Linked DNA regions of Mus musculus. The protein of the gene in region 4 interacts with the protein of the main gene of each other region in a biochemical or structural test. Links are inferred from orthologs where the notes say so. Each region holds a gene or a part of one and is shown on either strand. Other genes may lie near its edges. The genes, in order: Rnf168, Mdc1, Ppm1d and H2ax.

Region 1 (8,038 bases), on a different chromosome or scaffold from region 4:
TACTCCTCTTGGGTGAATTTGCTTCCTTTTGTTCTAGAGCTTTTAGGTGTGTTTTCAAGCTGCTAGTGTGTATTGATTTATTTCTAAAGAGATTTTGAATTTTTTTTTTTCCTTTCAAAAGAGACATGCTTTCTCTGTGTTGCCCTGGCTGTCCTGGAACTGGCCTTGTAAAGACCGTCTGCCTTTGTCTCCTAAACATAGGCATATGTGCTCAAACATAGGCCAGATTTGGCTTATGGGCCATGGTTTCTTTTTTTTTTTGTTTGGTTTTGTTTGTTTTTTCTGGACAGGGTTTCTCTGTGTGTTCCTTTAGCCATCCTGGAACTTACTCTGTAGACCAGGCTGGCCTCAAATTCACAAAGATCCGACTGCCTCTGCCTCCTGAGCTCTGGGATCAGAGGTGTGTGTACCACAACTGCTTGGCTGGGCCATCATTTCTAATCTCTAACATAAAATTTACACAACTGAACAGGTTACATGTGGCTCCTGTTTACCTAGGAGACTTTCAGATGCAAAGTAGTATATTTTAGGAGGGCCTTGTTAGCCAGGTATATCAAGGAGGAGTCCTTACAACTGAGACGCTAAGCAGCAGCCAAGCAAGAATGTGGTGTCACTCAAACCCCATGTGGTGTGGGCCTATAATCCTTTCACACAGGAAAGAAGATTATGAATTGAACTATATAGCAAGTTCCATGCCAGTCTAGACTACATGGTAATACTCTGTTTCAAAAGTCAATTATTTCTGGTAACATCCCCAGTATACAGCTCCAAGGGGTCCTGGTAAAGAACAAACTTAGAGTTGCTTTTTGTTGTTGTTTTGTTTTGTTTTATTTTATTTTTAAAAAGTCACTTCAAGGGGCTGGAGAGATGGCTCAGTGAGTAAGAGCACTGACTGCTCTTCTGAAGGTCCTGAGTTCAATTTCCAGCAACCACATGGTGGCTCACAACCATCTGTAATAGGATCTGGTGCCCTCTTCTGGTGTATCTGAAGTCAGCTACAGTGAACTTACATATAATAATAAATAAATTTTTAAAAAAAGTCACTTCAAGGTTTGGCTTTAAAAAAAATTTGTGTATTTTGCCTGTATGTATGTATGTATATATGTATGTATGTGTGTGGTGCCTGTGGAGTCCAGAAGAGGGCAACAGTTCCCTTGGAACTGGAATTACAGATAGCTGTGAACTGTCATGTGGGTGCTGGAAATTCAGTCTAGGTCCTCTGATGTACAGCCAGTTTTCTTAGCCACTGACTCATCTCTCCAGCCCTGCCTAAGAGCTAAGTAAAAAAAGAAAGTGTGTATTTCTGCTAGTCTCTCATTTAGTGTTCCTTTTAATGTTGAATGTAGACAACAAACGACAGTACTAGTAATAGTAGTTGTGGCTCTGTCACTGAGAGAAAACACGGGTATTGTCTAGGAATGGTAGCATAACCAGGGCTTGAGAGAGCCTAAGAAACAGTGGTTTTGGAAGTGTAAATCAGTAATACAGTCTGTATATAGAGTGAGCTCCAGGTTTGATTCCTATCACCAAGGGAAGGAAGGAGAAGGGAGAGGAAGGGAAACATATTTGCTACAAATTTTTTTAATAATTCTCTCTTCCTTAATATACAAATAATTCAGTTTGCTAGTATATCTTATCAAATGAAAACCTTTTGTGGGTTAAGAAATTAAACAAACAGGCTGGAGAGATGGCAGAATCTCTTGTCCAAGAGTCTCACATCAGTTTGCTAAACTGTCAGACCCTATCTCAAAAAAGACATCTCACCTGTGGTGGCGCATGACTTTAATCCCAGCACTCGGGAGGCAGAGCAGGCAATTTTCTGAGTTCTAGGCCAGCCTGGTCTACAAAATTAGTTCCAGGACAGTCAGGGCTATACAGAGAAACCCTGTCTCAAAAAACAAAAAGGTGGGAAAAACAAAACAAAACAAAAACAAAAACAAAAAATTCTCCTCAGAATAGGTCTTTGTAGACACATCATTAAAATACTCAAGAAGGGCTGGAGAGATTTCTTGGTTTTTTAAGATCACTCACTGCTCTTTTGGAGTGCCCAAGTCTGGCTCATTTACATCAACTGCTGTAACTCCAGCTCCAGGGACTCTGGACATTTTCACTCATGGTCATGCATTCCTCCCTTCCTCCCCAATATATACACATAATTAAAAATAAAATCTTTATAATGTCAGAGAAGGTCCATAGCACGTACAGGTCAACACACTCTGGACCAGAAGCTTGTAAGGTGAAAGAGGCCATGTCCTGATGCCAGCTATTGGCCATATGTTAAACATAATTAAAGCTACTGTAGGTTTCCATGTCAGTGAAATGACTTGTCCTGATCTTACTTGGCACACCAGGTAAAAAAAATAAAGTTAAGAAAGAATTATGGCTGGGCAATGGTGGCGCACACCTTTAATCCCAGCACTCCGGAGGCAGAGGCAGGCGGATTTCTGAGTTTGAGGCCAGCCTGGTCTACAAAGTGAGTTCCAGGACAGCCAGGGCTATACAGAGAAACCCTGTCTCAAAAAACAAAAAACAAAAACAAAAAAAAAAAAGAAAAGGTGGGTACAGTGGTGATGAGAATCCCTCATTAGTAATATGTGATCGTGTCTAGTGACCATTCATCTAAGAGATGAGTGTAGCTGGCTTATACGTTTTCTCTATATATACTCAGGAGTTTTGTTTTCTACAGGAAACTGATAGGAGTGACACGAAGAGCCCTGTGTTGCAAGACACAGAAATTGAAAAAAATATACCAACACTTTCTCCTCAGACCTGCCTGGAAACTCAAGAACAAGGTTCGGAGTCTTCTGCAGGGATACCCGGGCCACAGTTATGTGTAGGAGACACTAAAGAGTCCCTTGAGGGAAAAGTTGAAACAGTATCAACCAGTCCTGATGATTTATGTATTGTAAATGATGATGGACCTAGAGCCACAGTTTTTTACTCTAATGAAGCTGCAGTTAACTCTTCTAGTAAAATAGAAAATGAAGAATACTCTGTGACAGGTGTGCCCCAGTTAACTGGGGGCAACAGAGTTCCAACAGAGAGTAGAGTGTATCACTTACTAGTTGAAGAAGAGATTTCCGACAGAGAAAACCAGGAATCTGTATTTGAAGAAGTCATGGATCCATGTTTTTCTGCAAAAAGAAGGAAAATATTCATCGAATCCTCCTCAGATCAAGAAGAAACAGAAGTGAATTTTACACAAAAACTGATAGATTTGGAACATATGCTTTTTGAGAGACATAAGCAAGAAGAGCAGGACAGATTGTTAGCATTACAACTTCAGAAAGAGGTAGATAAAGAGCAAATGGTGCCAAACCGGCAGAAAGGATCCCCAGATCAGTACCAGCTACGCACACCCTCACCCCCAGACAGGCTGCTGAATAGACAAAGGAAGAATTCCAAAGATAGGAACTCCCTACAGCAAACTAATGCAGATCACTCAAAATCTCCGAGGAACACAAAAGGTGACTATTGGGAGCCCTTTAAAAACACATGGAAGGATTCAGTTAATGGAACAAAGATGCCAACTTCTACTCAAGATAATTGTAATGTATCTAAAAGTGCCTATACCGTACAGCATAGAAAGTCCCAGAGAAGCATTGTTCAAATGTTTCAGAGATAACCAAGCAAAGCATGGGGAAAGAGTTCTATAATCCAGAAATGATGTATTGCAAAGCTAGCTCTTCTGTCCTAATATCCTGAGATGTCTCACATTCTGCTCAGCAAGCTTGCTTACTCTCTGAGGTTTGGTTACAAAGGAAGAATTTACAAATGTGTTTCTACAAAAGACGGCTAGTAGGAAACAACCTTGGGAATTGTTTCCATTGTCAATAACTGCAGTGTTCTAAGTGTGGCATCTTTACAGGTATAAAAACACCTTGGTCAGTACATCTTCAGGTGCCACTTCCCTTTCCAAAACTTTTATAGCCTTTTTTTTCCCTCTTTTTTTTTTTAAATGAATGGGTAAGGAGTCCACACAGGTATCTTCCATAACACTAATTAGTTCCCTTCATAGTTTTAATTCTAAGCATTTTAGCATTTCCTTTGAATTAAAATAGGTAAGTATCGGACTGGAGAGATGGCTCAGCGGTTAAGAGCGCAGACTGCTCTTCTGAAGGTCAGCTGCTCTTCTGAAGGTCGCAAGTTCAAATCCCAGCAACCACATGATGGCTCACAACCATCCATAATGAGATCTGATGCCCTCTTCTGGCCTGTCTGAAGACAGCTACAGTGTACTTACATATAATAAATAAATCTTTAAAAAAAACAGGTAAGTATCAACATCAATTAGTTACAGAATAGCTGCTAGATTGTTTGTTTTTTTTAAAGATTTATTAAAAAAAAAAAAGCCGGGTGTGGTGGCGCACGCCTTTAATCCCAGCACTCGGGAGGCAGAGGCAGGCAGATTTCTGAGTTCGAGGCCAGCCTGGTCTACAGAGTGAGTTCCAGGACAGCCAGGGCTATACAGAGAAACCCTGCCTCAAAAAAAAAGAAAAGAAAAGAAAAAAAAAAGATTTTATTATTATACATAAGTACACTGTAGCTGACTTCAGACAGACCAGAAGAGGGTATTAGATCTCATTACGAGTGGTTGTGAGCCACCGTGTGGTTGCTGGGATTTGAACTTAGGACCTTCAGCAGCACTCTTACCTGCTGAGCCATCTCTACAGCCCCACTGCTAGATTGTTAATGCAAGGGTTTAAGAGTGGCATGGGCTGAGTGGTGGATTGGTAGGTAGGGAATCCCTGGAACTGAATGGGTAATCAGAAACTGGGTCCAACATGGACTTCAGGCTTCTTGTAGCAGAACATTCTCTTTAATCCCTTTAAGTGGCAGAAAATATTTAGAGTTTACAGCTTTTCCCTCCATGGCATCTTGGTGTGAGAGGGCGAATTGGTATATTTTTACTGATCTTGTCTAGAAACAAATAAATTATTGTAAGAAAATGATACTACGCTCTGCTGTCGAACACCTGGCTTTACCATCCTCGCTGCTTACTGGCTCAGACACATGCTTGTATGTGCGCACAGATGGAAAATGGTGTGGGTTTGTCTTGCATTACCCTGGGATCCAGACGAATCTTGTCAAGTTGAGCTTCTATCTTTTGTTAAGACAACTTAGCAAGCTGTAGTTTCAGTAGATTCTCTTCTGGTGTCTTGGCTCCATTTATTTCCTGTGAACATAATAAACTGTCCTAATGCAGTGTTTGGCTTTTTCCACATTTTTGTCATTTGAATTTTTTCTTCCGAGTTTTAAAACTTTTTTTATGTTTATCTTGGCAATTTTTTTTTCCTCTAAAAGCAATTTAACTTAATGCTTTAGGAAGATAGTGATGGGACTTCAAATTAGATATTATCACATTCAATCTTTGTGAAATAGTTCATGACCAAAAAGGGACTAAGAAGAACATTCCTGTATGGTATAGTGAGAGTTTATATATTTACCACCAGTTTGTCCGTGGGCAATCATCCTGATTGAAGTTGTTTTCAGGTTTTTAGTTTCTCTGTTAGCTCTCTGTTATTCTTACTGTTGATACCTTTGTGTTAGCATTAGATTTTTTAAATTGGTCATTAGTGAACTGCTTTTTCCTCATTTTTGTTGGAAAATATTAGAGTATTAAAGCTGTGCAGATTTGAAAAAAAGATGCCTGGCATGATGGCACAGCCTAATTCCAGCATGTCAGAGGCAAGGGCATCTCAGTTCTTAAAAAAAAAAATTAAAAGAATGATTAATAAAAATTGGCTCTCATGTTCATTTTACTACACTTTAATAAAAAAATGGCTACAAACCAGGCATGGTTGTACATGCAAACCTTATCAAGGCTAAGGCAGGATTTTGGTGGACAAACTGGGCTGCATTCTCTCTGAGTTAAATTCCCAGCCCAAATGAGTGAAACTGTCTCAAAAGCCAAAACAAAAATAGGCTACATAAAATTTAGCCTATGGGTTATAACAAAATTCCATGAAACTTAACATAGTTGCTAGGCTTAGTGCCATACTCCCTTTATCCCCCAGTGGTGTTTGTTTGTTTGAAGATTTATGTATATGAGTACACTGTCACTGTCCTCAGACACACCAGAAGAGGGCATAAGACCCCATTACAGATGGTTGTGAGCCACCATGTGTTTGCTGGGATTTGAACTCAGGACCTTCGGAAGAGCAGTCTGTCTCCGCTGAGCCATCTCTCCAGCCCCATGTACCCCACTCTTGTAAGTCAGGCAGGCAGATCTCTGAGGTAGAACGAAGACTGGTCTACACAGTGAGACCCTGTCTTTGCGTTCATTCATTCATTTATCGTGAGGGTCAGCCGCTGTGTGCTGCAGCGTGTTTGAGGAGGCTGTGGCACTGCACTAGTAAACCATCTGGCTGCTCCCACACAGCATTTTTAGTGAAGTTTTAAGCATCAGGGTTAAGAGAAGGTAAGGCCCACAGGAAGAAAACATAAGAGCGTCTCAAAGAGTCAATCTCTCTTAATACTTTGGAATTCTGAATCATGCTAAAAATATCTAGTCAAAGTAGCCTTAAATGTCCTTAAAATATTTCATGGTGTTCGTAAAGCTCAGCCTGTACTACTACATGTGACTTTGCTCTTGTTTGGCTTTTTAATTGTTTTTAGGGTATGTTATACATACATGTTTGATGTATGTAGTGTATTTTGATCCTACTCATTCGTCCCAGCTCCCCTCTTAACAGTATAGCATAATCTGGCCTTGAATTTCTGCTTTTTCAGCATCAACCACCACAACCAGGTAGCTTTTAAATTAGAATTTTAAATTAGAATTTTTCAGCATGGAAAAATTAGAACATTGAAAAATTTTTGGATTATTTTGCTTTGATTTTTGTTTTGTTTTTTCATTTGAAACAAAATTTGGGCTTTCCGGGTAGGATTGCGGCAGACCTACAGTCCTACTGTGGACTCAGAGAAAAACTGCATTGAAAACCATGCAAGGCAGTGTGGTGGGGCAGGCCTCTAATACCAGCACTCAGGCAGCTGGAGGCCAGCCATACATAGTCCCAGGACGGTCAGGACTACACAGAAACCCTATCTTGGGAGGAAAAAAAGAGGCTGGAAATCGAGCACAGTGGTTGAGTACTTGCCTGACAGTCCCAAGGTCTTAGCTTCAATGCTTGTCAACGTGGGGGTAGGGGCAGAGTGGTGGAAGGACCTATTTCACAGCTTAGCATGGACAGGAAGATTTCTAGTTCTAGGAAGAGTTCTAGGCTACATGGAGTAAGCCAGCCTGAGATTTATAGCTTCTCTGCCCTGGAGTTCTCCTTTGGCCAGCATCTCAAAAATACCAACTGAACAACCTCCCCACAGTTAAATAGACAATAACAACTGCAGAAGAGAGAAGAGCCTCTGGTGGAGCTACCTGCATTTGGACAGGAAGTTCATTGGGTGCAGCTTTAGTAAGCCCATTCTGGAGTGAGCTTTTCAGTGAGGGTGTCTGCAGCTTCCTTGAGTCACCAGGTACCTGAAAGCAACCCCTGGTTAACAAAACAAAAACCAATGAACAAAGCACTAGGTGTGGTAGCCCATGCACTTAATTCTAGTGTTCCTGAAGTAGAGCCAAGTAGATCTTGCAGAGCTCTAGGCCATCCTTGTCTCCATAGAGATTCCAAGCCAGGAATGTAAGGAGTCCAGGTGTAAAACTCCAGGGAGCCATAGATTACCGGGGACCCCCTGAGTGAACCACATGGAGCCAGGATCAATGCAAAAAGCAAGAGGAATTTCTTGTTCCAGTGCACTGGGGTGATGTTGGAGCCCTGGAGGATTGTTAAAGCTCTAAGGGGAGAAGTTACCCAATGCGTCTATAGAATATCTGAGGGGAGAGGTATCCTGGCTGTAGGAGCCAAGAAATACCACTAAGTCACACCCCACCACAAACCTGACACAAAATATTTTATTGGGAGAGACACAAGAGGGTGGCTGCCTCTGCTTGGGCAAAAGGCAGTAGGAAACCAAGAAGACGGGTTTATATAGAGTTGAGTTTGTGTACACACACAGAGCTTTCCTGGGTGGGTATTGGTGGGAT
Region 2 (8,038 bases), on a different chromosome or scaffold from region 4:
ACAATAAATAAATAAATAAATAAATAAATATTATGATTGGGGGTCACCATAACATAAGGAACTGCATTAAAAGGTTGCCTGGAAGCTGGGCGTGGTGGTGCACGCCTTTAATCCCAGCACTCGGGAAGCGGAGGCAGGCGGATTTCTGAGTTCGAGGCCAGCCTGGTCTACAGAGTGAGTTCCAGGACAGCCAGGGCTATAAAGAGAAACCCTGTCTCAAAAAACAAACAAACAAACAAACAAACAAAAAAAGGTTGCCTGACTACAGAAAAAAAAAAAAAAAAAGGGAAGGAAGGAAGGAAAAAAAAAGAAAGAAGTGTAACATTATTGAAACTATTAACTATGGGCGCAAAGCAAAGTATATCTATCTATTTTTGACCCAAGCTTGCTTCCCACCATCTACATGGTAGCTCCCAACAATATGTAACTCCAGTCTCAGGGGATCCAATACCCTCTACTCTCTTCTGCCCTCTACCAGCACAAGGTGCACAAATAGTGCCGACATACGTTCAGGCAAAACATCTACACACACAAAATAAGTCTTTTTCTTTGTTTCCTTTTTTTTTTTCTTTGAGACACAGTTCTGGCTGTCCTGGAACTTGCTATGTAGACCAGGATGGCCTCAAATTCAGAGATCTTCCTGCCCCTGCCTCCTGAGTGCTGGGATCATCACCATGGCCAGCTCAATAAATAATTTTTTCCCTCCCAGCCCCCCTTTCCTTCTCCCTCTTGCTCCAGACCACTTGCTCTGGCCCCCGTTCGCTACAGCCCCGAATAACTAAATCTTAATAAATTAATCAGTCACTTAAACGAAAAGAAAGCCAAAAAGGCTTCTGACTTCCTGGCTGCTGGAGTTACAATGCTTGTGAGCCCTTCTGTGGGTGATGGATGCAAACGCTTGTGCTCATGCTAGAGCAGCAAGTACTCCTAACCACAGCTGTCTCTCCAGCCCCTCTTCTCTGTGTGTAAAATAGACTTAAAAAAATGTTAGGGTGGGGGTGGGGGTGAGTAAGAAAGGGACATGCAGGAGGCAGAGGCAGGTGGATCTTGAGTTCAAGGCCAGCCTGGTCTACAAAGTGACCTGGTCTACAAAGTGACAGGACAGCCAGGGCTACAGAGAAACCCTGTCTCGAAAAACCAAAAAAAAAAAAAAAAAAAAAAAAAAAAAAAGAAAGGGACACGCAGTCCCAGGGGCTTCCATGAGTATATACCTAGAACTTCTCCTCATGCTTCAAGTCCCATGTGCTAAACTGCCAATGTGGAGCACCATATCTGGCTGCTTGAAAATGTTTAAACCTTAAAAACAACACTGAGGCTGGGGTGGGGAAGGGGTATAGGAAACTTTTGGGATAGCATTTGAAATGTAAATAAAGAAAATATCTAATAAAAAATAAAAAAATAAGTACCTGACACCAAAACAAGACAAAAACAAAAAAACAACAACACCGAGTCCCTTTGAGGCCAGCACCTCTTCCTCTCTTCCCTCATTCTTGTTCCTCTTTCCCTCCATCATTCCTCCAACCCTCTCTTGTTCCCACTTCCTATGCTTGCCATACCTTATAGGAGTGAGGCATGCTGGGCAGGAAAGTGCCTCCACAGCAACTGATGATCTCGCCCATCTGAGGGGGGGGTGGCTGCACGCCAGGGGTCACATGAATCTCATAGTCCTAAGAGAGGAATGATGGAGACAGACACCTGCAGTGACAGGCCAAAGGCACTGGGAAACCTCTAAGAGCTCCAGGGGATAGGACGGCAGCGTGGTGCAGAAGACAGACTCTTATTTACCTCCAGCAGTCTTCGTTCCCGAGCCCGGCACAGGGAATCCCGAAGGCTGAAGCTAAAGTTCTTCTCTTGCTCAGGATCAGTCACTAAGTAGTCATCAGGCGGCAAGAAGCAACCAGCCTTTCGGGACTAAGGAACAGGCAGAACTGTTGTTTATCTGAAGTGACTGTTTTGTGTCTTGTTTGTCCTTCCCAGTGCTGAGGATTGACCTCAAGACTTCAAGCATGCTAGGCAAGTGCTCTGGTACTGAGTCATCCCAGCCCTGTATCTTCTCAAAGCAGCCCACTGCTTCGCTAACCCAGTTCTCCATCTCCTCCCTCCCACTACTTCCCCACTGCTAGGTGAGCAGTCCTTTCCAGCCATTCGTCATCTCCTGGCTTCTCACCTGGTACAGCCAGTTCAGGGACAGGATGGGAATTCCCTTCCCCAGGGCACACAAGAACTTGACTGTCCTGCGGATGCGATCAGTAACTAAGTGGGAGGCCTCATTTACTGAGCTGGCCAGACTGCCTCCCAGAGCCAGCACTGCACGCTCGCCACGAGAATCCATGACTCCTGTGAACAGTACCTGGGGGGGGGGGAGCGGGGTATGGTATAAAGATGGTCACAGCAACCCACACTAGCAGCACCCATCTCTCAATCCCCAGCACCTTGTTTTCTACCTTGGGGGCTGTTTCTTGGTTAGGTTTAGTTCGCCGGCTTCGAGTTGGTTTTCCCTGGGTCACTTCTTCTGCATGGTCCCTCTTTCTCTTTTCTGGTGTTGGAATTGCAGTCTCTTGAGGCTGAAAAGCATCTCAGTGAGAATTCCTGAGCTCTGTAGCTCTTGCTCCTAGCTAGGGACATCCCCACCCCACCCTCAGCTCTCCTCTCACCTCTTCCTTCACTTCTGTTTCTACAGGTTCTTCCTTGATGACTACAGTTTTCTGGGAGGCTTGTCTTCTGGGACGTTTTTGACGGGGTGAGTCTGTGGTAGTGAAACGCTTCTTTCAGTTTTGAGAAGCCTTAGGCTGGGGCTTAGGAATGGGCCCTGAGCTCCCAGCTGCTTCATTATGCATCAAGGGCATGGCAGGCTCAAGAGTGGTTGTAACTGACTCACCTGCTTCTGATGCTCCTGAGCTTTGGCTGGCTGAAGATTGGGGCTCAGGTTCAGAGAGGGCAGAGTAAGACTTATGACCCAGAGGGACTGTGCGGGAACCCTGCTTCCCAGCAGCCCTTCGTTTCCTTTGGTGATTGGCTTGTGGAATGGGCTCTGGGGTAACAGGCTGGGCTATGGGGACAGGAGGCTTGAGATCAGGGGTACTGGAAACTGGGGAAGCACTTAGGGGTGAAGACTGTAGTGTTAAGCTCTGATCTGTAACCTTAGGGGTGACAAGATGGTCTGTAGAGGTGGAAGGCTCAAAATCAGGGGCCACTGGCCCAACTGATTCACAATCTTCAGTGGAGGGTTTATATGTCCTTCCCTGAGTGACCAGAGCTGTAGGCTTAGGGGCAGGCTGTTTTTTAGAAGTGAAAGGCTGGAGTTCAGGGGTTGTGGGGACACTCGCTTCAGGAGTCTTGACAGCAGACCTACGTGTCCTAGCCTGAGATGAGGGCTCACGGGTATCAGGCTGTTCTGTGGAGGTGGATGGATGGAATTCAGGGCCAGTTTGGACAACTGGTTCCGGGGTCCTGATAGACTTACTTGATCTACCCCGAGAGGCCCGAGATGTGAGGTTAGGGGTGACAGGCTGTTTTGCAGAGGTAAGAGGCTGCAGCTCAGGACCAGTGGGGACAACTGATTCTGGGGTCTTGATAGAAGACTTACTTGGTCTACCTCGAGTGGCCCTAGGTTCAGGGATAACAGGCTGTTCTATAGAGGTGAGAGGCTGAAGTTCAGGGCCAGTGGAGACAACTGATTCTGGGGTCCTGACAGAAGACTTACGTGGTCTGCCCCGAGTGACCCGAGAAGTGGGTTTAGGTATGACAGGTTGTTCTATGGAGGTGGGAGGTTGGAGTTCAGGGCCAGTAGAAATAAGTGGTTCTGGGGTCTTGTTGGGAGATTTACTTGGCCTGCCCCGAGTGGCCCGAGGTTTGCGGTCTGGGGTGACAGACTGTTCTGTGGAGGTGGGAGACTGGATCTCGGGACCTGTGAGAAGTGGTTCAGGCATCTGTACCCTGCCCTCAGTGACCTGGGACGTAAGTTTTGGGATGACAGGCTGTTCTGTGGAGGTGGAAGGCTGGAGTTCAGGGTCTACAGGGACAATCAGTTCTGGGGTCCTGGTAGAGGACCTATTTGCCCTGCCCCGAGTGGGTCGGGATGTTGGTCTAGAGGCAGCAGGCTGGTTTGTGGGGCAGGTAGTATTTGGCTTAAGGGCAGCAGAGGAATGCGGGGAGGGGGTCATCCTGGAGGACCGCCGTGGCCTGACATTAGGCTTTGTGTGAAGACTCTCAGGAAGGGGTATCTCAGAAGAAGAGGTCGAAAACAGAGGCTGAGGTGTAGACTGCTTTTGGCTCTGAGAGGTGAGGAGACTCTGAGTTGAAGCTTCAGGCACTGAAGAAAACAGGCAGTGGTCTGGGGGCTCTGGATCACCCTGAGAAGGAGGAGAAGCAATTGACAAAAGACACCAAGAAAGAGGTGGACAAGGATCTTTAACTTTTTTTAGTGTTTCTATGAAGTCATAGCTCATGTGCCTTCAGTGTCCTCCACTGACTCTTCTAGCTTAATTTCCAAGTGCTGGGACCAAAGGCCTATTTGCATGTTTGGTTTGATTCTATTTATGGTCACAGGACACTCACTGGCACCTTTCTTTCTGTGACCTCTCTTTAGGCTGGGAACTCCTTGGGGAAGGAAACAATCTTTTGGACACCGTAAGGGATTCCTAACCCTAATACTTCAGTGCAGTGATATGCACAGGTGTGTATGGCAACTAAGACATGGCTGGGGCAAAAGAGGGATGAAACACAAAGAGATCTCTGGGTCAATATAGGGAACTATGGGTGGCAGGACACAGGAATGGAAACCAATTAATAAATGACGAACAAGAAAACTGGGAGCTGGGCATGGTGGCACACTCCTTTAATCCCAGCATTCGGGAGGCAGAGGCAAACGGATTTCTGAGTTTGAGGCCATTCTGGTCCACAAAGTGAGTTCCAGGACACCCAGGGCTATTCAGAGAAACCCTGTCTTGAAAAACAAAACAAAACAAAACAAAAAGGAAACTGGGAACATGGGATCAGGGAGACAGGTCAGTAGGCAAAGCAAACACCAAGACCTGAATTTAATCTCCAGAACCCATGTAAAAAGGACAGGTATAGTGGCTATGTTTTGAATCCCAATGCTAGAGAGGTAGAGATAGGAGAATTCCTGAAGCTTGCTGGCAAGAATCTTAGTCTACTTCAGCATATTCTAAGCCAGTTTAGGATCCTGACCACCACCACCCTTCTAAAAAGCTGGGTAGTGGGCTGGTGAGATGGCTCAGTGGGTAAGAGCACCCGACTGCTCTTCCGAAGGTCCGGAGTTCAAATCCCAGCAACCACATGGTGGCTCACAACCATCCCTAACGAGATCTGACTCTCTCTTCTGGAGTGTCTGAAGACAGCTACAGTGTACTTACATATAATAAATAAATAAATCTTTAAAAAAAAAAAAAAAAAAAAAAAAAGCTGGGTAGTCCCTGAAGAACAACACACAAGACTATCACTTGCCTTCATCATGCACTGCCCCTAAACACAAACCCTCACAAACATGCACAAATGTACATGCAGTGAGAAAATGGGAAGTATAGACAAAGAAAGATTAAAGGAAGGCTAGGCAAAGGGCTGTAGAGGAATGATAAGAAAGCAGCTCACCCTGGAAGCCTTTCCAGCAGGTGTCGTCTGGCAACTCAAGCGGCCTAGTCAAAGAATAAAACAAGACTGGCTGAGTGTTGTGCAGCCCGCAGCTCAGATACTAACTGCCATGAGGACTACATACCCCTTGGCTCCCCTGCCTCACACTTACCTCTCTGCTGCCTCCCAGGGCTCAAAGGGTCTCCCTTTCCTCCATCTGCCTGGCTCCCTGTGATTATTGGGGCTGATGCAAGTCCCTCAAGGTCCTTCACCCCAACTCCAGGCTTTAGTGTTAGACTAGCAATTTGCCCTTTCTGATCATGGCTCCCTTCCTCTGTCACCCCTCTATCTGGAGTCACTTCTAAATCAGCTGGCTCCCATTCTCTCTTTGGTTCTGGTTTCTCTACTTTTCTCTCTCTCTTCTGTGAGTCTTTGGACATCTCTATTTCTACCTCCAAACTCTCCCTATTCCCTTCAAGATCCTTGTCAGCCTCTTTTCTCTGACTGTCTCTAGCTAACACCTTCTTTGGCTCTCTGTCCTTTGTCCCCTGAATTAGTTCTTCTCCTATCACATCTCTCTCACTGTTTTCTGTTCTTCCCCTGATTTCCCTCTCCAATGGCTCTCTCTCAGGGGTCATCCTGTCTGCCATTTCCTTTGGTATACCCATGGCTTTCTCCACAGTCTGTATCTCTCTGCCTTCAATTCTCAACAGCTCTGTGTGAACTGGGCTGGTATGAACCAGATGTTGGTGTCCTGGTGGTTCCCTAGGCAGAGATGGTTGAGATCCATGAGCTTCATGAAGCTCAGAAGTCTCTGACTGTTCTCTTAGACAGAACGGCTGTGTAGCCAAGACTTCCCAAGGCACATCCAAGGTATCTGCACCTAAACAGGATGAGAGAAAGGAGATAAGTACACAGGTAAAAAAGGCACTAAGGTTGAGAACGAAGGCAGGCTCGCAGCAAACAGCTACATGGGTTACAAAAGGGAAGCTGGGAGTAGGGTGGTGGTTCTAACACTGAATGCTATTCAGGAGATTATAACCTCACGCACAGCTTCCCTCAGGAACTTCATTTGAAAAACAAGGACTGGGGATGTGGTTTAGGAAAACACTCATTTTAGGAGAATACTCATTTGGCATGCATAAAGCCCTGATTAAATCTCCAGAGAGAATGTAGAGTGTAAAAATTTTTGAGTTTTTGGGTTAACCCCAAATCTCCTGAACTAGAATCAGAGTAATCTAGGCAATCTAATTTTTACTTGTTATTTTATTTTTTAAGACTTATTCTAAAATTTTTTATTCACATGTATATGTGTATACCATGTGTGTGTGGGGTACCCAGAGAGTGATGAAATCTCCAGAAGTGCTGTTACAGATGGTTGCCAGCTGCCTGACATGGGTGCTGGACTCTGGTCCTCTAAGATGATTGCCACTCTTAACCACTGAGCCAAGCCCATTTTGTTGGATTTGTTGTTGTTGTTTGAGACAAGGTCTCATTCAGTCAAGGCCTCAAACTTTCTATGTAGTCCAGGATGGCCCTGGGCTCCTGCCTCTGCTTCCCAAGTTCTGGGATCACAAGTGTGTGTGTCACCATGTCTGGTATAGGTTCTTTTCTTGAATAACAAAAGAATATGAAAAGTGCGTCTGCGGATACAGCTCAGTGGTTAGAGAGCTCATCGAGCAAGCATATGAAGTCCTCGTCCATCCCTAGCTGGGTGGCACACACCTGTAATCCCAGCCCTTGGAGAACCAGCAGTTCAAGGTCATCCTCAGCTACAGGAACTCTTTGTCAACAAACAAACAAGAATATGAGGGGCTGAAGAGAGAGCACTGGTGGCTCTAGCAGTCCTGAGAACCCACATGGCAGCTTACAACTCCAGTTCCAGGGAATAAGACCTCTTCTGACCACTGTGGGCACCAGGCATGCACATGGTGAACATATATATATATATATATACATGCAAGCAAAACACTCATACATGTAACATAGGTAAATCTAACAGACAGTATATGAAAGGATGCAGAGGAAGAAAACAAGAAAGCAGGCAAAGTTGGGAATTCAGAGAGACTTCCTTGTACCTGGAGTCTGAAGGCTGAGATGGGAAGGTCCTGGCTCTTGTGGAAGAGTACATGGGAAGAGTTGGGTAGGCTCATTTTCCAAACTCTGGACAGCTGCCGAAGAAAAGGTGGGTAGAACACAGCTGGTCCCAGAACGCCAGGGTCTCATACCCTACTTGGCCACATCGCCTTTCAAGGCCCATCAGTGTAATCATCACCCAGCTCTTCCTGGTGCTCCCATCCACACCACACAATGTCCTCACCTTCTGGGTGCTGGCTCTCCCCTTCCACAAAGCACTGGGTAGCTGGAAGGCACAGATCTTCAGGTTCTGCTGGGAAGAGATGTGAGACAGATGAAAAATCAACTCTCATCCTAAAGACCTCTACAGTTC
Region 3 (8,038 bases), on a different chromosome or scaffold from region 4:
GTTATTATTTATTTATTTATTTAGACACACAGGGTCTTTTTGTGTAGCCCTGGTTGGCTTAGGATATGATATGTAGACCAGGCTGGTTGTGAACTCATCAACTCTCTGTCTCTGTCTCCCTAGAGCTAGAACTAGGTGTCTAGCATCACAGATAACTAAATGTCAATAACAAATAAGTGTATATACTGTCCAGATAGAGAAGAGGACATTGCCTGTATTGCACACGTACCTGAATATCTATGCTGGTCTTACTTGTGTTGTCCCTGTGTGGTGCTGGGTTTTGAATATGGAAGTCAGTGTATTCTAGATAGGCTTTCCTTTTTACTTTCTAGAGATAGTCTCATGAAGTTGCCCACACTTGCTTTGGACTGGTTTGTGTTTTTTTTTAAAAACAAATCTATGGTTTGTGTTTTTTTTTAAAACAAATCTACTTTTTTTTAAAAAGGTTTATTTTATGTATGTGTGAGTACACTGTAGCTGTCTCAGACACACCAGAAGAGGGCATCAGACCCCATTACCGATGGTTGTGAGCCACCATGTGGTTGCTGGGAATTGAACTCAGGACCTCTGGAAGAGCAGTCAGTGCTCTTAACCTCTGAGCCATCTCTCCAGCCCTTGCCTTGAACTGTTGTTGGTCCTTCCACTTCGGCCTTCTAGTAGGTAGGATTAGTTTCCTGCCACTGTGGCTTCATGTTTCTCCTTCCAAGGAGTAACCATCTCTTGAGCCTCCATTCTGTACTGCTTGCTGATGATTTTAGTCGTCTGACCAGGTAAGTTCTGTACATGATGTCCTTTATCTCCGGAGTTTCTGAGATTCTTAGGCATTGTGTAGAATGAGGAGCGCCTCAGGGTTTCTTCACTCTGTGAGCAGTGCTACTCTGGCCATGTGTTTCTGCAGTGATGTGTGGTACTCCTGGGGTGGTTGAGGAGGTCCTGTCTTCCTCCCACATGATACCCAAGTGTCCCTGCAGTGTTCATGCTGTCCTCAGTAGCTGACTGAAGTGTGTGTTGCTTCCGCATTTCCGACCACATGTGCTGTGTCATCCTTTAAGCACTTGTTCTCATGCTGTGTTCTCTTGTGGTTTTTAATTACTATTTACCGGATGACTGAAGAAAACTTGAATGCCTTTGCGTGCTTTTTGTCTGAGTTTTCTCTTTGGTTCAAGGCCTATTTAGGCCTTTCTTTTTTCCTTCAGGTGGCCTGTCTGACTGATTTCAGTTGTGGGGACATTTTGTAGACTTTGTATACGTCAGTGAAGTAGTCTGATTCTGCTCCTGGTAACTTACTAAGTAAACTTGTGGGTACACAAGGAGGCCAGAAGGTGTTGGGTTCCTTAGGGCTGGAGTTAGAGGTGTGGGTGCTGCTGTGACCTCATGATTGAGCAGCAGGGGCTTGTCACTACTGAGCCTCAGTTTACCACCCATTGCCTAATTAAGGAGAACCAATTTATTCCCTCTTACTAGCTTTTCTTGCTTATCATTTGACTGCCCTCTGCAGTTATCCTAGTATAACTGTTTGCTCAAACTTACAGGACTCCCTCATTTTGCTGTGACCTTTACTGTGCTATGGGGTGACTTTTATATTTTGTCCTTTCAGTAGAGTTCCAGTGGGCAGAGTATGTAAGTAAGTGATTCAATCTGCTATCATGAATTTACAGTTGGAGTTTAGTATTACAGAGTTGTTGTAATACTAAATTGTTGTTGTCACTGAATTTAACTAGACAGTATATGGTTTGGAATTGATTTGAGAGTTCTGTTATTTAATTTTTAAGTTATCTTAAGCAAGCTTCTTAACCATGCAAAGTATTTATTTCTTCATTTGTAAGATGAAAATAGGAATAATTTGTTTTTCTTTTTGTTTTTCAAGACAGGGTTTCTCTATATAGTTTTGGCTGTCTGGAACTTAACTTTGTAGACCAGGCTGGCCTCAAACTCAGACATCTACCTGCCTCTGCCTTCTTAGTGCTGAGATTAAAGGTGCACACCACCACTGCCTGGCTAGGGAAGAATTTTATGTCTTATTGGCTTACTGTAAATATTATTTGAAGTAGTACGTGCAAGCTTCTTTGTATAGGACTTTGGTGATGAGTAAATGTTGTTGGGTGGGTGGGGAGATGGTTTAGCAGTTAAGAGCACATCCTGCTTTTGCAGAGGACCTGCCTCAGTTCTCAGCACCCATCAGGAGACTAACAACTGCCTGTAACTCCAGCTCCAGGGAATTTGATGGCCTCTTTTGGCCTGTTTGGGCTCTGTACACATGGTATACATAATTGTCAACCACATACATATGCACATGTATACACACACACACACACACACACATACACACACACAAATGAAAATATGGGAGGCAGAGGCAGAGAGGCCGAGGTAGAGTCTCTGAGTTCAAGATTAGGTTAGCATGATCTACATAGCAAGTTCCAAGCCAGTCAGGGCTACATAGTGATATCTTGTTTCCACCCCCCCCCCCCCAAACAACAACAACAACTCAAGTCAAAACTAAGTAAATAAATTAAAATTACTAAAATTAGAATATTTAAAAGTTGTTTAAAAATAAAACCAAGTGGCTATTTCTGGAAAGATACAAGTGCTGGAATTTGACGAAATGGTATTATAACCAACTGTACTGCAAAGCTTGGTTGTTGCTTAATGGTAAACTTGAATGGCATGTAGGAGGCCTTGGGTTTGGTTCCTAACAAAGAAAACTTAGTATACCTTTGCTTCTCTATGTAGTACATGGAAATAGAAAATCTATCCTGTAATTTTTTTCTCTCTCAGTATTGGTTTATAGTTTTATTATAGTTATTTATAAATTTATTGATTAGAGGAATTAATTTAAATTCTCAGGTAGTGTTCTAGTTAGTTTTATGTCATCTTGGCACAAAATAGAATCATTTTGGAAGAGGGAATCTCAACTGAGAAAAAACCTGACCAGATAGACCTGGACAAGCCTGTAGTGCATTTTCTTGCTTGATGGTCAATGTGGTAGGGCCCAGTTCACTAGGCAGTACCACCCCTGGGCTGGTAGTCCAGGGTTAGCTAAGAAGGTAGGGTGGGAAAGCCAAGAGGAGCAAGACCTCCTCCATGGTCTCTGCCATCAGTTCTTACCTGCCCTGGCTTTGATGATAGAATATAATGTGGAAATGTAAGATGAAATAAGCCCTTTCTTGGGGCTGGAGAGATGGCTCAGTGGTTGAGAGCATTGACTGCTCTTCCAAAGGTTCTGAGGTCAATTCCCAGCAACCACATGGTGGCTCACAACCATCTATAATGAGATCTGGTACCCTCTTCTGGTGTGCAGACAGAACACTGTACACAATAAATAAATAAATCATTTTTTTTTAAAGCCTGTTCTTTTCTACTAATGCTTGTTTTGGTCATTTTTTTTCCCCTTAAGACAGGGTTGTATGTCGTCCTGGCTGTCCTGGAACTCACTCTGTAGACCAGGCTGGCCTTGAACTCAGAAATCTGCCTGCCTCTGCCTCCCAAGTGCTAGGATTATAGGCGTGCGCCACCGCTGGTCATGGTGTTTTATCATAGCAACAGAAACCCTACCTCAGCCAAGTCGATTCTAAGCCTTCTCCCTCCCTCCCTTCACCTCCCTCCAGTTCAAGATGTTTTTCTTAAATTTTTTGCTGTTCAAACTCAAGTGTTAACATGCTAATTCAAGATAAGTTGCTTTTTATATTCCGATAACTGTTCTAATGTGGAGAAGTAAAATATAAAATGTTTTCTTCCTTATTACAGCAGAATGGCCAAAGACTATGACAGGTCTTCCCAGCACGTCCGGGACAACTGCCAGTGTGGTTATAATACGGGGCATGAAGATGTATGTAGCGCATGTAGGTGACTCTGGGGTGGTCCTTGGAATTCAGGATGACCCAAAGGATGATTTTGTGAGAGCTGTGGAGGTGACACAAGATCACAAGCCAGAACTTCCCAAGGAAAGAGAAAGAATCGAAGGACTTGGCGGCAGGTGATCATTTGTTTTGTCTGTCTTATTTTGGTTCTGGTTAGCTAACTGTGTCTACTCTGTCTTTTGTCTTTCTACATCTCCCCCACTACTCCCTTTTAATTGAGGCAAGGTAGTTGTGTAGGCCAGCCTGGTCTGTAACTCACTGTGTAGCCTAGGCTGGTCTTCAGCTTGTTGCCCTTTGCTGTAGTTTCCGCAGGTCTGGGATTATACATGAATCCTTCCTCTTGCCTTCCACTCTCTTTTTGAGATAGAATCTTTTTTTTTTTTTTTTTTTGGTGTTTTTGAGAAAGGGTTTGTCTGAGTAGCTCTGGCTGTCTTGGAACTCAACTTTGTAGACCAGGCTGGCCTCGAACTCAGAAATCCGCCTGCCTCTGCCTCCCAAGTGCTGGGATTAAAGGCGTGCATCACCACGCCTGGCTGAGATAGAATCTTATATAGCTGAGCCTGACCTGGAACTCTGATCTTCCTGCCTCTTCCTCCCAAGTGCTTTGCTGGGATTACATGCATGGGCAACTATACTTGCTCTGTTTTCCTTTTTAAAGCAGTTAATCTTCTAGTATTATGCGGTTTTATTTGCTTGTTGTAAAAATATCACATTTACATTATTATTTTGAATTGCTTTATTGATGAAAATGGCTCTAAATGAGAAGTAATATCTCAAGTAACAATAGGTAAAATTTTATTGAAAGCCTTTCAAATAAATACTGACATAAGACCTTCAGAATCTGCATGGAGCAGAACAGTTAGAGTATGCCATGTGCCTGGCAGATACTATTCTTACAGCTTATCATAATCCTAGATATTTAGAAAAGCATTCTTCTTTTTAAGTCTCTTGGGACATGTATGTATGTATGTATGTATGTATGTATGTATATATGTATGTATGTATGTGTCTACAGTGAGAGAAAATGCTTCATTGACAGAACTGGTATGCTTTGGCATTTTTGCAGAACTCGCAGTGTTTAGTAGGTGACAGCTAGTCTTTCATATCTTCTGTCTTTAGACTGTCATGGAATGTTACCTTTGGTTGCAATAGCTGGTTACACACACATTTCAATGCAATTGTTTGTTTGTTTATTTATTTATTTTGAGACACAGTATGGGCCAGCCTCAAACTCACAGAGGTCCTCCTACTTGTACTGGGACTAAAGTATGTGCCACCAAGCTCCTCCCTCTCTTTCTTTTTTCTTTCTTTTTTTTTTTTTTTTAAAGATTTATTTATTATATGTAAGTACACTGTAGCTGTCTTCAGACACTCCAGAAGAGGGAGTCAGATCTTGTTACAGATGGTTGTGAGCCACCATATGGTTGCTGGGATTTGAACTCCAGACCTTTGGAAGAGCAGTCGGGTGCTCTTACCCACTGAGCCATCTCACCAGCCCATCTCCCTCTCTTTCTTTGTGGTAGATTGTGTGTGTGTTACTTGGGATTGAACTGAGAGTCTTATGCAAGCTAAGCAAGCACCTCCTGCTGACTTGGATTCCCAGTTCCCCATAATCAATCAATCTATCAATCTATCTATCTATCTATCTATCTATCTATCTATCTATCTATCTATCTATCTATCAGTCAATCATATGTAAGTATACTGTAGCTGTTTTCAGATGCACCAGAAGAGGGCGTCAGATCTCGTTATGGATGGTTGTGAGCCACCATGTGGTTGCTGGGATTTGAACTCAGGACCTTCAAAATAGCAGTCAGTGCTCTTACCCGCTGAACCATCTCTCCAACCTACTTATTATTTTTTGAGACAGGGTCTCACTATGTAGCTCTGGCGGTAGACCAGGTTGGCTCTGATCTCACAGAGATTGTATGTGAATGCTTCCTGATTGGGCCACCATACTTGGCCCTCACAATCTTTTAAATTGAGGCATTTTTTTTTTTTTTTTGACATTTCTGGAGATCAAACCCAGTCCTTGCACATGTAGGCAATCTCTGCCATTTAATTGTGCCACTGGTCTTTTCCTGTACATGTTTAATATTGGAAGGCCTTTTGCTTTTTCATTATATTAAGAAGATTTTTTTTTCTTGAGTATTTTCTTATTTTTTTAACTTGAATTTTTAAAGTTATTTGATTTGATTTTTTTTTCTTTTTTCTTTGATTTTTAATCTCATTAAAAAGAAAGAGTTTATAGTTTTTGCCTTTTCACTTAAAAATACCATCTGGACAGTTGGATACATGCCTTTTGCCATTTGGGAGCAGGTGTATTTTTGCAAAAATTGAGCCATTTTATGATAAGTTATTTCCTGTCTTCCCTCAGTCCCAGCCTAGGCTGTTGGCCAGCACTCTTGTTTTTGTAGCCTTCTGTTGATGCGCAGTCAGCTCTCTGCATGGCAGGCTGTTCCTCTCCATTTGCCTTTTAATACAGAGCAACAACAGAGTGTGCGGGAAAAGTAGTATCTTGTAACATTGCTTTGGTTTTAGACTTTTTCTTAAGCAAACAGTACCATTATTTGTCTTGTTTCTCAGACACACAAAGACCATAATATCCTTGCCAATAAAGTATCAGGGGACCTCTCAGTACATTTGTATTGGGGACAGCTCCTGGAATTGCTCTGTGCTGAGGCTCACCTGTCATGTTAGATGTTTAGAGAGAACACTTGGGCTTTAAGGCGGTTGGAAGACAGAATGCTGGCATTCATCCTCAGTGCGATCTCCTGTGTGACGATGTTCTTGTGAGTGGCCAGTTTACTTCATTCTACCCACTGAGCTTCAGCTTTGAAGAAAAGTAAGAAAGCAACCGCCGTTTGTCTTCCACCTCTCCTTGGTGTTAGAACTGAAAGATGAACTTAGTCTCCAAAAGGAAGGTGAACAAGGGACTTTCTGCAACTCTGCTTTATATTGACATTTTTGGATACTCTGTTTTAATGTGTTTCAGCTCAACTGTCACCGTATCAGTGATAACCACTGGCCACATGTGACTGCTTAAGTTTAATAAAAATTAAGCCATAGAACCAGTTCCCTTGTCCTACTCACAGTGTTTTCTAGCCCTGTGTTAACGGAGGACAGGGCAGATTGACCATTTCCTACAGCTGCTCGGCTCTCCTGGTGTGGCCTTTGATTTTATTGCGTTCTCTCTTTAGGTGAACTTGTCTACGGATTCTCTCCCTGTCAGTCTTGTCTGGGAGTGTGTGTACCCGGCTAAGTGTGGAGGTCAGAGGACAACTAGGACATTGCTCCCTGCCTTGTAACACAGGGTTTCTTTGCTGTTTTCCTGCTGAATTCCCCATGCTAGATGACCAGAAAGCTTCCAAGGATTCCCCCTTCTCTGTCTTCTATCTCCCTGGAGGAGGAGTGCGGGGATTACAGACGTCCCTGCATTTATGTCTGGCTTTACATAAGTCCTGGAGGTCTCAGTTCAGGTGGACAGGTTTGCACCGTCAAAGGCCTCAGTGTATCCAGCCATCACTACTATCCTGTCCTCGGGGATAGGTTTTTGTTTTTTCTTTTATTCTGCAGTACTGGGTATTGAACCTAAGGGCTCATGTATGTTAGCCAAGTGCTCTACAACTGAGCTGTATCCCTAATCTAGTTTTCCAGGCTGTGAAGCCAGTTAATGTTCATTTTGTTTAGGGAGATAGAGTCCTGCTGCTCACATACAGTAAACTTATAAGAAGGTGACACATGTAGCAGTGTGTCAGATTTCTTATGAACAGTGAGACTATCTGGCAAATCTGTATGTTGGGCTAGAGGCAAGTCAGGTGGGTGCCATGCCCAAGGCTCAGTGTTCAGTTCCCAGCAATGGGGACGGGAAAGGCTTCATATCATCTGGTTTACATATCTTCTGTCTATGTATAGTTTTTTTTATTACATTTATTTGTGTGTTTAGGCATGCATAAAGGTCAGAGAACACCTTGCAGAACCAGCTTTTTCCTTCTAATATGTGGACCCAGTGGATTGAGCTTAAGTCTTCAGGCTTGGTGGCAAGCAGAATATCTTGCTGCTCCCTTTGGTTATAGTTGAAGATGGGGTTCTCATTATGTTGTCCAGGTGACCTGAAATTTCATGATCCTCCCACCCAGGCACCCATGTCACCACTCCTCGGGAACTGGTTGGTTCAC
Region 4 (7,637 bases):
TTTAGTTAGTTAGTTTTTCGAGACAGGGTTTCTCTGTATATCCCTGGCTGTCCTGGAACTCACTTTATAGACCAGCCTAGCCTCCAACTCAGAAATCCGGCTACCTCTGCCTCCCAAATTGTGGGCTTAAGGGCATGTGTCACCACTGCCCAGCTTTTTTTTTTTTTTTTTTTTCATTTCTACCATTTTTCTAGACAGGCTTTTTCTGTATAGCCCAGCCTGTCCTGGAACTCTCTCTGTAGACCAGATTTAGCCTTGAATTCATGGAGATCTGTATCTGCCTCCAGTGCTGGGATTTAAAGGTGTATACACCACCACTCAACAAAAACAAAAGTTTTTTAAAAGTTAGCTAGAGGGGGGAAAAGAGACTGTGGGGCAGAGGGTGCACTGGGTAGGTCTTGACTTCTCCTTAGCAACGCTCCACAGCGGGGAAACCTCAACACCCGCCTCCGGAAGCTGGATGAGCTGCAGGAATTCAGTGCCATCGTCCTGGCTGTGGCTGGCCTACAGCGCATGGGCTGGCAGAACCGGGTGGGCCAGGTAGGAGCTGCCCTGTTCTGCTTCCCATTGAATCTGCCTCTCTCCTGCCTTGATTTCTTCCTGACCATTCTGCCAACAACACTACAACCAGAAGCCCAGGCTAGGGATATTGGGACTCATTGCTGGACTTCCTACCTGTGCCTTCCCCAGGCTTCCTAGATTGGCAAACCCTAGCTCACTGCCTTTGAACATCCCCTATCCCACCATCTTGTCTCTCTCCACAGATTTTGCACCCAGAAGAATGCATGTATGCTGTGGGTCAGGTAGGTTTGCCTGGAGAGAACCTGGTTCATAACCTTTGGCACCTGCTATCCATCAAATAAGATGTTTAGAGAGGGACAGGTTTGGTTGTTATGCATAAGACCCAGGGAAGCAGGTAGAGGTGTGTTTCTCATGCTTAGCTCTATTACTAGAGAAGATCAGGCCTGTTGTTCTTTAGGGAGCCCTAGCCGTGGAAGTCCGAGCCAAGGACCAGGATATCTTGGACCTAGTGAGTGTGTTGCACGATCCTGAAACTCTGCTTCGCTGCATTGCTGAAAGGGCTTTTCTGAGGCACCTGGTAAGATGGGCTCCTCCCATGGTGTTGTGGGGAAACCAGGAAGGGCAGTAGGGAGAGAGATTTGTCAAGTACTCAGTATGTAATGTTTTGTATGTATGGAGAGGACCTTGATCTGGCCCCTTGAGGTCTGTGGTCAAAAGTGGTGTTAAAGGCCCTTAGAGCTCAAAGGAACATATCATTGCAGGAAGGAGGCTGCAGCGTGCCCGTAGCAGTGCATACAGTGATGAAAGATGGGCAAGTAAGCCAGGGAAATGGATGAGGGGAGGGACTGTCATTTCCATGTGCACCGAAACATCTAAGTAACTTTCTTTAAATATCCTGGTACAAACATTTTATTTCCTAGCTGTACCTGACTGGTGGAGTCTGGAGTCTAGATGGCTCAGATAGCATGCAAGAGACTATGCAGGCCACCATCCAGGTCCCTGTTCAGGTATTGACTGGGAGATGAGGAAGGAATAAATAGAACTGCTTGTAATCTTCCTCTTACCAAAATTGTAACCTGTCATCCAGCAAGAAGATGGTCCAGAAGATGACCCACAACTGGTTGGAATCACTGCCCGTAACATTCCAAGAGGAGCCCAGCTAGCTGCTGAGAACCTGGGCATCAGCCTGGCCAGCTTGCTGCTCAACAAAGGAGCCAAGAACATCCTGGATGTTGCACGGCAGCTTAATGATGTGCGCTAACTGGTCTGTAGGGCACAGGAACCCTGGCTGCCACTCCACTGCCTACTTCTGGCTTCCAAGTGCCCTGTGCTCCATCCCTAGGGATGTGATTATCCCAGGAAATTGAACCACGGGGTTGTTGAGACTTCCACTTTGGAAGATATGCCTCACCTTGGGGCCTCCATATCTGCCTTTCCCTCAGTAGTTGGGGGCTTCATCTCTTTAGAGAAAGTCCATGCCAATCTTTGAATGTAACCAATACCACTAATAAACCAGTTTAGAATGTGGTTCTTCTGATAGAGTTGGGGAAGATATGAATAAACCCAAAGCCCTTTTAAACTTGAATTGAGTCTGAGACCTTTCTGTTGTAAAACACGCTGTGATTTGCCTCATGTTCTCAAAAAAAAAAAAAAAAAAAAAAAAAAAAAAAAATCAGCCTTCAATTCCTACAGCCTGTCTTCAGTCAACGGGATCTTCGTGGATTACATAGCCTTTCCCACTCCCACGGCCTGCAGAAAGGGAAGTCCCATTCTCTCCCAAGATGTGCCAGGCACATGGCTCTACCACGGAGCTATATGTCCAGCCCTGGGACTACAGCATTCAACATTAAACCACTTTTTTAAAAAAACAAAACCAAACGATCCTTTAATAAAATTAGCCCATTAAATCTCCCCACTTAAGGTTCTAAACTTGTAATAGCTGCAAAAGTTCCAGTTCAGAAGCCAGAGGCTCAGTCCAGACAGGGATTCACCGGCTTGTGCTGGTATCTAGGTGTTTGGGTTGTAGTTGAGTCGCTGGGGAAGAGGGGATGGATGGCTAGGCCCGGCTGCCAGTCGCCTGCGGCAGGTATAGAACTCTTGTCCACAGGCCGGTAAGCGTCTCTCTGACCCTTGCCGGGAGGTATTCCTAGAGAAACTGGGTTCACATTACAACCATTTTTGGCCCCGCCACACCACACTGGCCTACGAATGGCGACAGGGTCAACTGGTATGAGGCCAGCAACGGTGACACCGAAGGAAACAATGTGATCCATTTCTCCTCCTCTAAGCCCGGCAATCAAGTCACTTTTCAAAGGTCCAGGCGAGGGCTAAGCACCAAGCTGAAGCAAAGACGCCGGGGCTGTAGCTGCGGAGGGACTAACCTTCAAGCCCACCGCGGCCGGACGTCTGAGCGAGGGGCCGAGACTCCGGGAAGGCGCCGCAGCCTCTCCGCACGGAGCCGTCGTCCACAACCGAGAACGGCGAAGCGATGTCACGAGCTCCGGGATGGGCAGGTGCCGCGGCGCCCGCGTCCTCCGTGGCAGAACCGGAGGCCGTGCGGGGTAAGGGGAAGAGTGGCGCGAGGGCGGGGAGGGGAGAGGAGGGAAAGAGAAAGGATGGGGACGCGGCAAGCCGCCGCAGCCCGAAGTGGCTCAGCTCTTTCTGTGAGGGAGGTGGTGGCCCTTAAAAGGGCCTTTGTGGAGGTGTGGGGAGGGCTGGGCGGCCTCGGCGCGGGCCCCCTCAGTACTCCTGAGAGGCCTGCGAGGCCTTCTTGCCGACCGCCGGCGCCTTGGGCCCCACGGTGGCGCTGCTCTTCTTGGGCAGCAGCACGGCCTGGATGTTGGGCAGGACGCCGCCCTGCGCGATGGTCACGCCGCCCAGCAGCTTGTTGAGCTCCTCGTCGTTGCGGATGGCCAGCTGCAGGTGGCGCGGGATGATGCGCGTCTTCTTGTTGTCGCGGGCCGCGTTGCCCGCCAGCTCCAGGATCTCGGCAGTGAGGTACTCGAGCACCGCTGCCAGGTACACCGGCGCGCCTGCGCCCACGCGCTCGGCGTAGTGGCCTTTCCGCAGCAGCCGGTGTACGCGGCCTACAGGGAACTGAAGGCCGGCGCGTGAAGAGCGCGACTTGGCCTTGGCGCGGGCCTTGCCGCCGGTCTTGCCGCGTCCGGACATAGTGTACGAGGTAGAAGAGCTGCGAACAACGCTGAGAGACCACGAACTACCAACCGCCGCAGTCAACGGTCGCCTGGCCGGCCAAGCCCGGCCTTATAAACTCCCTGGACACGCCCCCGCTTCCTCCTGATTGGTTCCTTTTTTAATACCCACCTCTGGTTGGTTGCAATTAACCCTTCGGTGACGCGCCTTAGCTGAGAGAACGCGCCCAGTGATTGGTCCAATTTGAAAACCTTTTACCCGGGGAAGAAGACAAGGCGGAGTGGCCGCAAGCCGGAGGCTGCTCACCCCTGGAAATGGCCAATCCGTGTAGAGCGCGCGAAATTTAAACGCTACGGCGCGACAACAAAACCTGAAGACTAGAAGGGTGGAGCTTGGAGCTACCTCTACAGTTTCTGGGAAATTTGAGTCGGTCTTTGGTCTTAAAGGAAAAGGGTCTACACTATAAGCAGCGTTCTCCTTCCAGGTTAGAGCACTTCCCACTCCCTCCTCTAATCTGGTAGACGGAGGGTTTATTTGTTCATTATTATTTTTAGGTTTGTTTGTTTGTTTTTCGAGACAGGGTTTCTCTGTGTAGCCCTGGCTGTCCTGGAACTCACTCTGTAGACCAGGCTGGCCTTGAATTCAGAGATCCGCCTGCCTCTGCCTCCCAAGCCTGAGGATTAAAGGCGTGCGCCACCACCATCTGGCTTTTGTTTGTTTGAGACAGGGTTTCTCTGAGTAGCCCTGCCTGTCCTGGAACTCAGAGATCAGCCTGCCTCTGCCTCCCTAGTGCAGATTAAAGGGAGGGAGGGTTTAAAAGAAACGAAATGAAACCTCCTAGGAGTTTAATCCTATGCCAGAAAATGGAGCACTGTGATCTTTTATGCTATCACAAGTTTGTGCTGCGATATTTATTCAACATGTTCTGTCTGGTCTTAGTTTGTGACAGGCCTTTTTTGCAAGAAAGGGTCTGATGGAACAGAGATCGGTATCCTATTGGGAAAGGTACCCGGTCTAACCCTTCCAATCTATCCTAAAATGCCTATATAAAAAATAAATATACCAGACTTGGCATATAGTTCAGTGGTAGAGCAGTTAAGTATAAGGAAGCCCCGGTGTTCACTCCTGAAGCACCACGAAGGTTAAAAAGGACAGAGGGAGGGGATGCTACACTAGAGGAACAAGTAAAAGGCAGTCCTTTATTGTCACCGTTCTGAGCACATGGCCCTGCCTCTACGCTTCCCAATCACAACACTTCATTTGATAGTCAAATGTGAGGTCACCTTGGAGTATGTAGCCCTAACTCTAGCCCTAGCCCAGGTTCTCTCTCAAGGCTCAGGTGAATTCCTTTAGAGTTAGCGCTCTGAAAGCTGAGCTACGAATATTTGCATAATAGAGGCTACAAGCCCACCTGGTGAGGCTGCAGATGGGACAGAAAGGGAGGGCAAGGCAAGATGAAAGCCCTAGGCAAAGTCCAACTAGCGGACTTCAAGTCCAGCAAGGTGTCCATCCAGGATATCAGTAGTCACAGATGGCAGAAGCTGAGAACAAAAGTGTCAGCGAGGCCTGGACCAGAGGGTCATCTCGGACCAGACAGAGGCTGGTCCTGGCTGAGGTCCAATGGAGACTGTGAGGTAAAGGGCAGCTGTCAGGGAGCTCAGACATCATAGAAGAGTCGGACGAGTTGGTAACGAATGGAGAAGGTGGCGGCGCTGCTTAGGACCTGGGAGAAGTGGACTGGAATTAGAAGCAAGGCCAACCAGAGATGTAAACGCCATGGCATTACTAAGCCCCACCCTGAGCTGTACCTGCAGGAGCAGCAGGAGCAGGGTGAGGTTTCTCTCATGTATAGGCCCAAAGACTTTAAGTAGCAAGTTGATGAGGGTCATGTTGTTACACTCAGTGAAGGCACCGTCCTCACTCTCACCTTGGTGAACTGTCACTAACCGGAGGTTCTCTGCTACCTGCAGGGACCAGAGGTGAAGATGACTTCAGTTATGCAGATCTACTTCACGAATAGGGATCTTCTTGATGTTCCCAAACTCCCCTTGGGCCTGAAAAGGCCTAGGTTTCTCTTTTCCCAAGTTAAGGATGGCGGCCTCGGGCCTTACCTCCTGTTACCTTGTTACCTTTAAAATAAAGGTGCCCAGGAAAGAGAGGTTCTTGGTCTTGAACTTGGAATAGCTCATTTCCAGTTTGCCTGTCTTTGCGTTGAGTCTGCAATGGGAAGATAATTTCATTTGACTGAATCAGAGACCTCTGCACCCTGGTTACTAAGAAGAGTACTGAGGCCGGGCGTGATGGCGCACACCTTTGATCCCAGCACTCAGGAGGCAGAGGCAGGCGGATTTCTGAGTTCAAGGCCAGCCTGGTCTACAAAGTGAGTTCCAGGACAGCCAGGGCTATAAGGAGAAACCCTGTCTTGAAAAACCAAAAAAAAAAAAAAAAAAAAAAAAAAAAGAGTACTGAGTACTTATGTACTGGAGTTGGTTTCTGGCTCCGTGATCAGGGCTGTTGTAAGCATTACATACTATGTAAGTAAACGAGCTTCGTAAATTACAATGGGCTACCCACATACAGTCGGCTCATCTTTCCCCTCATGTTTTTTTTACATAGGAAATGCAAGTTGGCTTTAGCTATCCCAAGTCAGAAACTATTATGACCCTTGAAAGCCCCAGAGTGGTTACCTGGGCATCCGGTGTCGAGGGCAGGGGATGATATGGAAGAGCTGAGGCAGTGAGTAGAGGAAATTGAATACTTGTGGCATAAAGAAGAGCAGCATGGTCTTGCTGAAGTGTCCCAAGATCCCCACCACGGCAAAAGTCATGCCCGCAAAGTAACAGAAGGTGTCTCCCACAAACACGCGGGACGGGTACCTGTGTGGGAGAGAGGATTTCAGCCAATGGCAAGAGTTGTTACTGACTCTTTCTTTCAGTCACTCGCTCTGAGTAACAGGCCAGCCTTGACCCTGAGTTCTAAAAGAAAGGCTGTTCCAGAAACTCTATAGGCCCCACGGCCCCCAACTCATCTACTCCTAGGGGCTACACAGCATTTGTTCCCAACTCCTGCAGGATAGGCAGGGATTCCACACCAGCACCAGGCTGCTCTGTAGCTCACCGGGCAAGCAGTCACCTAGCGAGTACAAGGTCATGGATTTGATCCCCAGCACGAGGGTGTGCAGATGGTGGGGTGAAGGGTGGGATCTAATAGCACATGCCTGTATTTCTAGGCCAGCCTGACAACACCGTAAGTTCAAGGCCAGCCTGGGCAACTTACTAAAACCCTATTCTCAAAAAAAAAAAAAAAAAAAAGTCTGGGGATACAGCTAAAATCTAAAGTGCTTGCTTAGCATTAAGACCTCAGATTTAATACCCTGTTCATAAACACAAACACACACACACACCAGACGAGTGCTTGTGCTCACACAAGAGTGGCAAACTACTACCAATGGCAGAGCCAGAGAATATCCAACAAAAGTATGAGCAATTTTAGTCTCTTCATTAGAAGCTGGGTTATGTCAAGCCCATCTCTGCCACATACATCAATCATTTCCTCTCTCATCCATAGGCCTACATACCAGTTGTGGTAAAGCAGTCCCAAGGTGGTAAAGAAAAATGGTATCATGAAGTAAAGGGAAAAGATATGATCATCTCGATAATCACCTTTGGAGCAAAGCAAACAGAAGGGAGTCAGTACCGGCATCCCGCTGTGTACCTTGGTCTCATTTGTATCTAATTTATGTTCCCAGCCATTAGGAACACAGCACCCAAGTCACTTTCAAGACCAACTCTACCCCACCCTGCCACTGCTGCTCCCTGACTTCCTATGTAGCCAAGTCTGGCGGGCACCTCCCATGTGCTGGGATGACAGGTGTTTGCCACCGTGCCCAGCTCTAACTTCCCCTTTCACATCACCCAGGCCATTCCCGATACTCTCATTACTTTCATTGACCTATAAAAAAA

Evidence for each region.
Region 1: of the proteins of H2ax (region 4) and Rnf168, one has a biochemical effect on the other in vitro, tested with the Homo sapiens proteins (2 studies listed by BioGRID). The link is inferred for Mus musculus from reciprocal best matches to the Homo sapiens genes H2AX and RNF168.
Region 2: the proteins of H2ax (region 4) and Mdc1 form a complex in vitro, tested with the Homo sapiens proteins (5 studies listed by BioGRID and IntAct, with this or other methods). The link is inferred for Mus musculus from reciprocal best matches to the Homo sapiens genes H2AX and MDC1.
Region 3: of the proteins of H2ax (region 4) and Ppm1d, one has a biochemical effect on the other in vitro, tested with the Homo sapiens proteins (3 studies listed by BioGRID and IntAct). The link is inferred for Mus musculus from reciprocal best matches to the Homo sapiens genes H2AX and PPM1D.

The regions. Positions count from the first base shown.
Region 1 is NC_000082.6:32,295,702-32,303,739, forward strand, and holds the end of Rnf168 (E3 ubiquitin-protein ligase RNF168), read left to right. Parts: intron 1-2,686; coding exon 2,687-3,625; 3' UTR 3,626-5,741; downstream 5,742-8,038. UniProt on the Homo sapiens protein: E3 ubiquitin-protein ligase required for accumulation of repair proteins to sites of DNA damage. Acts with UBE2N/UBC13 to amplify the RNF8-dependent histone ubiquitination.
Region 2 is NC_000083.6:35,848,729-35,856,766, reverse strand, and holds part of Mdc1 (mediator of DNA damage checkpoint protein 1), read right to left. Parts: intron 7,979-8,038; coding exon 7,910-7,978; intron 7,761-7,909; coding exon 7,668-7,760; intron 6,473-7,667; coding exon 5,762-6,472; exon of another isoform or gene 5,655-5,761; coding exon 5,611-5,654; intron 4,353-5,610; coding exon 2,879-4,352; intron 2,747-2,878; coding exon 2,655-2,746; intron 2,565-2,654; coding exon 2,445-2,564; intron 2,351-2,444; coding exon 2,168-2,350; intron 1,912-2,167; coding exon 1,786-1,911; intron 1,668-1,785; coding exon 1,557-1,667; intron 1-1,556. UniProt on the Homo sapiens protein: Histone reader protein required for checkpoint-mediated cell cycle arrest in response to DNA damage within both the S phase and G2/M phases of the cell cycle.
Region 3 is NC_000077.6:85,323,117-85,331,154, forward strand, and holds part of Ppm1d (protein phosphatase 1D), read left to right. Parts: intron 1-3,747; coding exon 3,748-3,976; intron 3,977-8,038. UniProt on the Homo sapiens protein: Involved in the negative regulation of p53 expression. Required for the relief of p53-dependent checkpoint mediated cell cycle arrest.
Region 4 is NC_000075.6:44,330,818-44,338,454, reverse strand, and holds H2ax (histone H2AX), read right to left. Parts: upstream 3,741-7,637; 5' UTR 3,694-3,740; coding exon 3,262-3,693; 3' UTR 2,378-3,261; downstream 1-2,377. Other genes in the region: Hmbs (porphobilinogen deaminase), read left to right, coding at 427-540, 765-803, 980-1,099, 1,284-1,337, 1,443-1,529, 1,610-1,783; Dpagt1 (UDP-N-acetylglucosamine--dolichyl-phosphate N-acetylglucosaminephosphotransferase), read right to left, coding at 5,333-5,398, 5,484-5,639, 5,805-5,892, 6,363-6,551, 7,253-7,337. UniProt on the Homo sapiens protein: Variant histone H2A which replaces conventional H2A in a subset of nucleosomes. Nucleosomes wrap and compact DNA into chromatin, limiting DNA accessibility to the cellular machineries which require DNA as a template.